Xenopus tropicalis: one gene and its partner. The protein of the gene in region 2 purifies or fractionates together with the protein of the main gene of each other region. This does not show direct contact. Links are inferred from orthologs where the notes say so. Each region holds a gene or a part of one and is shown on either strand. Other genes may lie near its edges.

What was found.
Region 1: the proteins of gpn2 (region 2) and polr2j purify together in Homo sapiens (affinity purification with mass spectrometry; 3 studies listed by BioGRID and IntAct, counting the BioPlex papers as one, with this or other methods). This does not show direct contact. The link is inferred for Xenopus tropicalis from reciprocal best matches to the Homo sapiens genes GPN2 and POLR2J.

What each region holds. Positions count from the first base shown.
Region 1 is NC_030678.2:94,652,475-94,656,837, forward strand, and holds the start of polr2j (DNA-directed RNA polymerase II subunit RPB11-a), read right to left. Parts: upstream 2,895-4,363; 5' UTR 2,869-2,894; coding exon 2,816-2,868; intron 990-2,815; coding exon 900-989; intron 1-899. Other genes in the region: txlng (gamma-taxilin), read left to right, coding at 3,327-3,395. UniProt on the Homo sapiens protein: Core component of RNA polymerase II (Pol II), a DNA-dependent RNA polymerase which synthesizes mRNA precursors and many functional non-coding RNAs using the four ribonucleoside triphosphates as substrates.
Region 2 is NC_030678.2:77,754,819-77,759,311, forward strand, and holds gpn2 (GPN-loop GTPase 2), read right to left. Parts: upstream 2,983-4,493; 5' UTR 2,963-2,982; coding exon 2,525-2,962; intron 1,870-2,524; coding exon 1,713-1,869; intron 1,570-1,712; coding exon 1,409-1,569; intron 1,221-1,408; coding exon 1,065-1,220; 3' UTR 444-1,064; coding exon of another isoform or gene 371-443; 3' UTR 245-370; downstream 1-244. UniProt on the Homo sapiens protein: Small GTPase required for proper localization of RNA polymerase II and III (RNAPII and RNAPIII). May act at an RNAP assembly step prior to nuclear import.

The DNA of each region.
Region 1 (4,363 bases), about 17 Mb from region 2:
TTTTAGTATGTCATATAATGCCCTATTCCTGGCAACTTTACAATTGGTTTCCATTATTTATTTTTTTATATTTTTAATTGCCTTCCTCTTCTGTCTTTTTGCAACTTTAAAATTACCCCGGCAGTTAAAAACTACTTCTCTTTGAGGCTACAATTTTTAAAATTATTGCTACTTTCTATTACTTATATTTCTATGCACGCATTGTGGTCTTTTGTTCAATCCAATGCCTGGTTGCTATGGTAGATAAGACCCTAGCAACCAATTAGCTGCAGAAATACCAAACTGGAGAGCTGCTGAACAAAAAGATAAATAACTCAAAAAACATAAAAAATAGATAATAAAGACCAATTGCAAATTGTCAATGTCTACATCATACTAACATTAAAAGTAAAGGTAAACTATCCCTTTATCATATTAAGGGACAAGGAAATCCCCAGAATGAAAGATGTTTATCTTAAAGGTAGAACGCTATATTTTTCAGCAGAATGGCCATAGAAGCTCCCTTTGTTTACTGATTGACTACTGACAGCTAAAAGCTTAGAGAGCTGTAAAGCAGGAAGTAGAGTTCTGGCCATTATGTTAAACATCTGCCCACTCCAGCCCTAGATTACATTTTTGCCTAATTAACTACATTGAAAATATTTTTTATTTTGCTATCTATTTTGGCAGTTTTCATTTTTGCATATGTCATCCCACCGGCGATTTACATATTGGGGAGAATAGTAGCCCGCAACAAGGGAGATTTGTCGCGGGTGACTAATCTTCCCGTGTGCCACAGCACTAAGTGTGACATTTTTAACTCCCCCCCCCCCCCCCCGTAACTAGAGATATTTGTAACAGCTGGTTTGATAGTGCTACTCTGCCTTAATTAAAATAAAGTTAAAAAAATAAATACTTACGACTTAATGATATTTCCAATTGTATGATCTTCCTTGTTGATTGTAAACAAACAAGCATTAGGTACCTTGGTATCCTTAGTGATTGTTATCCTAAACATTAATGATTATTAGTTATATAGGCATTCAAGCTACATCATCATCACATGTGATCATATAAAAACAGTAAGAAAGAAAGAATACAAGCAGCTATACATTGAATGACAACTTGGTTATAAGTTGAACTGACCTGTCGAGCAAATGGTCTGATTTGGCAATCAACATAAAAAGAAGTGTCAAGAAGGAGCAGCACCTGTCACTTCCCTGGTGTATTGGTACCGGTAGAGTGGGCCATTATATGCTCCTGTGCAATGACTTATCAGCCTCCCTTCCTAAACCATTCACTTATGTGTGTTAAGGTGGCCATACACGGGCCGACTATAGCTGCCGATATCGGTCCCTTGGACCGATTCGGCAGCTAATCGGCCCGTGTATGGGGAGAGCAGATCGGCCTGGCCGACCGATATCTGGCCTGAAATTGGCCAGATCTCGATCGGCCAGGTTAGAAAATCTGGTCGGATCGGGGACCGCATCGGCTCGTTGGGGACCATTTAGGTAAAAAAAATAATAATCCGATCGTTTGGCCCTGGGGCCAGACGATCGGATTATGTGGGAGGCAATGGGGCAGTCGGATCGGGGACCGCATCAACGAGCCGATGCGGTCCCCGATCCGACCAGATTTTCTAACCTGGCCGATCGAGATCTGGCCAATTTCAGGCCAGATATCGGTCGGCCAGGCCGATCTGCTCTCCCCATACACGGGCCGATTAGCTGCCGAATCGGTCCAAGGGACCGATATCGGCAGCTATAGTCGGCCCGTGTATGGCCACCTTTAGAAATAAGACTTGACATAGAAGTACAGCTCCACCGCGATGTGTCAAACTTTGGGTAACATTAAAGCACCAATGTTGATATGTCCAGTCCATATGCATAGAACTATGGCAGAGTCACTAATATATAAAATATCTGTAACCTTGTATGAAATAAAGAGGGGAAAACAAGAAAATTACACCTCCAAGTTAAGACCTGAGTGGGCCTAACTGAAAAGATACAAACCCAACCTGGAAACCCACTACCCAAAGGCTTTATCTGTGGACACCATAAAACCTAAAGTGCCATCATCCAAGGCCATGGATAGGTGGCATGTGAAACAGAGAAGCCTATTGGGAGACTTGTGCCCTACTGATCTTCCCCATACTCATATCAGCAACTCCTATCCATCAGTTACCCATAAATAAGGTCAGATATTTAAAGAATGGAAAATAATATATGATAATAATAATAATGATATGGGGTTAATTGTTATCTCAACTAGTCTAATATTTGAAGCCAAACCTTGTCTGCAGTAATAACCGGGACCTAATCTCTAATAGACAGAAAGGATTTAGTGAGTTATGCAATTCCTCTTATACACAGGTTTATAGTCTGAAATGGAATAAAATCTAAAATAACAATAAAACTGATGGTATTATGTTTTAAAGTTGCCCAGACAACCAGACAGCATTTTCAATTGCAAGCTGGAAAGTGGCAGAATGAAAATGCTAATACTTTAAAGTAAACAACAACAAGTGGGCACCTTGAGAAAAGTTGCATGGAATAGGTACATTAATAACATACTAAAGATTAATTCATTTACTGTTAATTTATTTTTAATTGCCAACAGCAGGGCCAGTTTGTGTAAAACCGATCCACTGGATTTCACTGTCATTTCACCTTGGCTATGATAGCAGCTTGACTGTAATTTCCAGCAGGGAGCCTGTCCTGGGTTAATGTGACACTTGTGCAGCAGTCTTTCATCTATGGCTATGTCATATTGTGCTGGTTTTGGTGTTTCTTTAATTGGCTGTATAAAGGCCAATATGCCTGAATGAAATACTTACTTTTTTTCACCCTCGAACAGTAGAAAAGACTCAAACGCTGGTGGCGCGTTCATGATGCGAGAGGGAGTCCTTTCAGCTTCCCGGCTGCACTCAGCACTCTCACTGTCTTTTCGCCCGTTCTGATGACGTCACGACAATAGCAAATGGCGTCACTTCCCATGTTGAAGGTACTCTGCGTTTACATTGCATGCTGAAATACAAATTCTAGTCCGCGGTGGCCAGGTTCTACGTGGGCTCTTTCACTACTTTCAAAGGGAAAATAAATTTACATCGTCTAGTTACTTATGTGTAATATGGGTCCAACATATACAAATCATAAGCAGTTTTGAGCGCAATGAATAATATTAATACTCCGCCAGTGTCAAAAATGGCAGCTGGGCTGCTTCCTCAACCTCCCGTCACATGGACGCCGGCGGCGTCTCTGATTGGTGTGAAGGCTTCAGTGTGCTAAAGTAGCCCTGGGGTCGCTGGTGTTTGTCAGAGCGCGGCACTTACAGGAGTGCGTCACAGTATGTCGACTCTGGTTGAGAAGGGTTGCGCTGTATCGGAGGACGCGGGTAGGCTAGAAAAATTCGAGCAGGTAATGGCCAAGGAAGTCATGGTGCTTTACTGTCTTACGTGCGACAGTCCCGCGTCTGACAGACTTTGTGAGCACACGATGTCCATACCACCTGTCAGTCCACATTGAGTAGGAGCGATTGGGGTGATACAGTACAGTATCCATGTGTTTAATAGAGAATAGCTTCTGTTCGCCTCTTTTGGGCTACGGTTGTGTTCCTGGGAAGGAGTTTAGCTGTAACTGGAGTACAAGGTGTCCTAGCTCAGGTGTGTGTACTCCAACAGCTTGTTCATGGGGAACTCTGAGCCGGGATTAATCAGCTGGAATGGTGCACGTGTTGCAGTAATGACGTACCAGTGTATTCCCTAGCCCCATCCCATGTACCAGTGTATTCCCTAGCCTCATCCCATGTACCAGTGTATTCCCTAGCCTCATCCCATGTACCAGTGTATTCCCTAGCCTCATCCCGTGTACCAGTGTATTCCCTAGCCTCATCCCGTGTACCAGTGTATTCCCTAGCCTCATCCCGTGTACCAGTGTATTCCCTAGCCTCATCCCGTGTACCAGTGTATTCCCTAGCCTCATCCCATGTACCAGTGTATTCCCTAGCCTCATCCCATGTACCAGTGTATTCCCTAGCCCCATCCCATGTACCAGTGTATTCCCTAGCCCCATCCCATGTACCAGTGTATTCCCTAACCCCATCCCATGTACCAGTGTATTCCCTAGCCCCATCCCATGTACCAGTGTATTCCCTAGCCCCATCCCATGTACCAGTGTATTCCCTAACCCCATCCCATGTACCAGTGTTCCCTACCCATCCTGTACCAGTGTATTCCCTAACCCCATCCCATGTACCAGTGTATTCCCTAACCCCATCCCATGTACCAGTGTATTCCCTAACCCCATCCCATGTACCAGTGTATTCCCTAACCCCATCCCATGTACCAGTGTATTCCCTAACCCCATCCCATGTACCAGTGTATTCC
Region 2 (4,493 bases):
ATTCTGCAGGCAGGAGGGCTGCACTATTATCCAACCAAATCACTGAGATGATGAATCACAGGCCAAAGATCTGGTGAACACACACTCATGCACCAAGGATCTAGAGTAGGGTGAAAAACTTGTATTAGAGCTGTTAAAAAATACAACTCCCATCATCCCACAAAAGCTTGCAGCATTTGAATACTTATGAGCTGCATTCTACCAAACTTTATAGTAGTCAAAAAGCTGTTTAGAGACATGTCTATTTACATTTTTATTAGAAAAAAACATAATTTAGCAAACCCCTTCAAATATAACCCAAAAATGCTGTAGCACTAGACTCAAGAAAATGGAATACAGAAGCAGCGCCTTTTCTGGAAAGGTGAATTGTTCATAGGTCTAAAGCTTCTTCCTCCACGGTGCGTTTATCCTTCTCCACATATTTCTCCTGGAATGCCAGTGTCCTGGGATAGCATTGGTTAAGGAGAAACCTTGGTAGAATGAAGTGAAACTGATATGTAAGCAGAGAATTTCCCCCACCATTTATTTTACCACTTAATGCTTGTCTCTACAATTAAAGGAGACATATAACTTGAGCAGTTTGTCTAATTTAATTATGTATGTAAATTTGAAGGCATATATTTCAGTATACCTCGAAAAAAAAAAATTGTAGCAAATGGCTAATGGGGCTTAGTTGGAATAAAGTTAAAACAGCCAACAGAAATCACATAAATTAAATTACAGGCAATAGGAGCATTGGGAAAACATTCTGCTGTGTGACATATACTTCAAATAAGGTGACAGTTTTTTGGGGAAACAATGAAACAAACCCATCGTTCAGTTGAGCCTACACTCAACAGATCTCAATGTGACTTTGTTTTTTACATTTTAAAGTAAACATCATAAACTCATTCCTTACCCACCCTCCTTACCCCTCCTTATACAGCAGCTATGGAGAGAAGAACACAGGGAGAGATAGTGGACTGTTATGCATTTAGGGGTACACAGGAAAAACAACAGTGCATTATGATACCTAACTGTGCCCCCTCAATCTGTGCACTGAAGAATGTTCGCCAGTCCTACTACTAACCCCTACAATCATGTGAAGGATACGATGTGAATTGGAAATCTGCCCCCACTGCCACAGACATAAGATTCCCAAGTGATTGCTTTGTCTCCCCAAAGCAGAATCCACTGGCTTTATCCACAGCACTGAGAACTAACCGCAAGCTCTTCTCATCCTAGGAGAAAATGAAAGATTTCAGTGCAATGTACATATATTGTTTGTGTATATATTACCCCAGTTGGCCTATAGAAATAGCTAACTAAACCTTGCATGGCATTACTTTACAAATTTAAAGAACTTTTTAGTTACTGGTACATTTTCTCTCCCTCTTATCGGTACTAAGCATCATCAAAGATTGATTACCTTAATACTCAGTGGCATGAAGGTCACCAATCCATAATCCTGGATAACCTCTGCCAACTTCTCATGGAGACGTTTGTGGCGGCGGAAAAAGGGGTCAGATGTCAGTTGTTCAACCAAATAAGAAAGGTCCATGACCTCAGTGTAGTAGTCCAGGTTAAAGGCTGTGGATGGGAGCAGGTATGTCAGCAGCACTGCCATTTGCAAATACCAACTAGTAACAAACAAATTGTTCTAGTTAATTTTAATCAGTTTCTGTAAGCACTATATTTTAGTTGACTGTCTTTACGGTTTCACACATTCTTACCCAGGCGGCCATATTGTTCAATGAGATCCATCTTGGACAGGACATTGATGTGTGGCAGCTCCACATGAAGCATAGTGCTAAGTGAAGTACATAAAACAGAGATGAACTTCGCTGGATCTGTGCAGTAATGGGAGTCCACTAGGTGAACAGCACATAACTAGAAGGAGACACACAAAAAAAAAAAAACATTACAAGGCTGCTTTGCTGTAAGCACTTTATAAATAACAATAGCATAAAAAGTGACAATGACATCAACCAATGCAGTCTCCTTTATCACTGATGCACAAAAATGTAATAGGGCAACTAAGACAAATGGCCCACCTTCCTTCAGCAAGCATACAAGACACCAACAAGAAGAAACATGGACGCATAAGACTAATTTAACTTTCTCACAGCTAATAAATACACACTTATCTGAACAGAGCAAGAACATGAGCCTGTAAGATGCTAGGCCCATCTTCATGCTAAAACTAATTTTTCTAGCCGACACAATGTTACATTACCAAAGCAATTACATATTAAAGAAATGCCACAAAGGGTACACCCAAAAGTGCTGGTTCAAAGAGCTGTTGTGCAATAAAGATGTTCAGCAGCCTTGAATATCCAAGACAGTACCATTGGCCAAATACATCCAATATAGATAACTACAGTGCTACAGCTCCTAGCATTCCCTGCAAGCTTACAGCTGGCAGGCAGTTCTTGTGGCTCACTAAAAGCACAGAGAGGTTGGCCATCAGTTAAATAACTTTTACGCTTTATGTCCAATATATGTCACCCTTAGACTTTTAATCCCAAATGCACCAGCCTCTCACCCGAAGCCCCCAGGCACCCAGGCGCCGCAGAACGTCGGGCAGGGCCGGGTGATGTGTGTAGAGCTCTACTTGCCCTGGGCAGTCCAGCAGGAAGTATGTCCCCCGCAGGCCCTGCAGCCTGCCCCGCAACCAGTCCAAGTTCTCCTGCAGATACTCCATGCAGTACAGCAAAGCCCCGTTTGGTCCCAGCCGCAACTCCGACATCACTTCTTCAAGTCCAAGCAGTTCCCGCAGACTCACTGCTGCCCCGGGTTCGTCCTCTCCCGCTGGGTCCAGGTTAATGATGGCGGATTTGCGGCCCATCTGAGCAAGCAAAGCCTGCATTGCTCGCACATACGTGCTCTTTCCTGAGCCCGGGGGTCCAATAACCGCCTGTCCGAATCCAAGCAGCGGATACTTATCTGCTCCAGGATCCCACTTACAGTCTGTGTCGGCCATTGCAGCTGTCACGTGACCGGTGCGTGCGTGCGTGCGTGCGTAATACGTCCACACAGGCGTACATTACGTTCAGTCGGCTCTCACTGACCTGTCGTTTCATAGGGCTACAAGCTTGAGAGAAAGAGGGTTCGTAGCTGGCGACAATTTCCAGGGATAGCTTATAGTCGCCTTATTTTGTCCCTAGAAATGTCGCTAAATATAAAACTAACACTATAAAAGCATTTACATGAGCTTTTGGGTAAAAATCAGCGGTTTGTCTCTGTCCTCACTCTTTATGGAAAATGTTCTTAAAATGTCATAGAAGGGTAATATTCCTATTATAAATCTTAACACCAAGCATTAAGTTAGTGCATTTGTAGTACGACAGAAGTGCAAACAAATAGTGTCCCTGGACATTTTGTGATGCTGCTTAATTACATACAGAGCAACATCCATCAAGTTCAACCCCAGTGTATGTATGTATGTATAACTTTATTAATAAAGCGCTACTTATGTACGCAGTGCTGTACAGTAGAATACATAAATATAAACGGGTATTAAAATAGATAAATACAAAGTTTTATAATAAGCACAAATAAATACAAGATACAGTTGCAATAAGTTAAGAGTCAAAGACACAAGAGTATGGAGGTCCCTGCCCCGTAGAGCTTACAATCTATATGGGAGGGTAACTTACAGACACAAATAGGCAAATATAAGTGCTGTAGGTCACAGTGGGTGACACTACAATATAAGTGCTAGTTCGCAGGGGCTGTGCGAGTGCTCCAAAAGGTAGTCGTTTAGTTTGGTTTTAAAAATACTGAGGGAGGATTCTCTCCGGAGGAAATCAGGGAGGGCATTCCAAATGTAAGGGGCAGCAAGGCAGAAAGGTTTAAGGCGGGAAACCGCACTTGTAGTGGGGGGCGCAACCAAACGATTGCTCTGCGTGGAACGAAGGAGTCGACCAGGAACGTACAGAGACACAAGGGAAGAGATGTAGTGAGGAGCAGAGGAATGGAGGGCTTTGAAGGTTGCACGATATTCTTTGTTTAATAGGAAGTCACGATAAGGCCTTTAGCAGGGGAAGGGCCTGAACTCTCCTGGATGAGAGGAGGAGAATTCTGGCAGCAGAATTTAATATAGACTGTAGGGGGGAAAGATGGGAGTTAGGGAGGCTGGTTAATAGCAGGTTGCAGTAGTCCAGTCGTGACAGGATGAGAGCATGCATGAGCAGCTTAGCTGTTGCAGTAGAAAGAAAGGGACGGATTTTGGCAATATTGCGCAGGAAAAAGTGACAGGTTTTGATAGTGGTGTTAATATGGTCAGAGAAGGAGAGACAGGAGTCTCTTGTGTATTGACAATGGATCGAACGTGTACCATGTTGGCATTTTATGGTGTGAACAATTACGATCTGAAGTCAGTTATAATGGACTGTGAGCGCTTTCATCTGATCCGAATTTATACACCCTCATATATAAACTTAAAATTGCAATAGTCTTGGACATTATTCTTGCTCAAGAAATAGCCACTCCTAAAGGCATTCATAGAATCT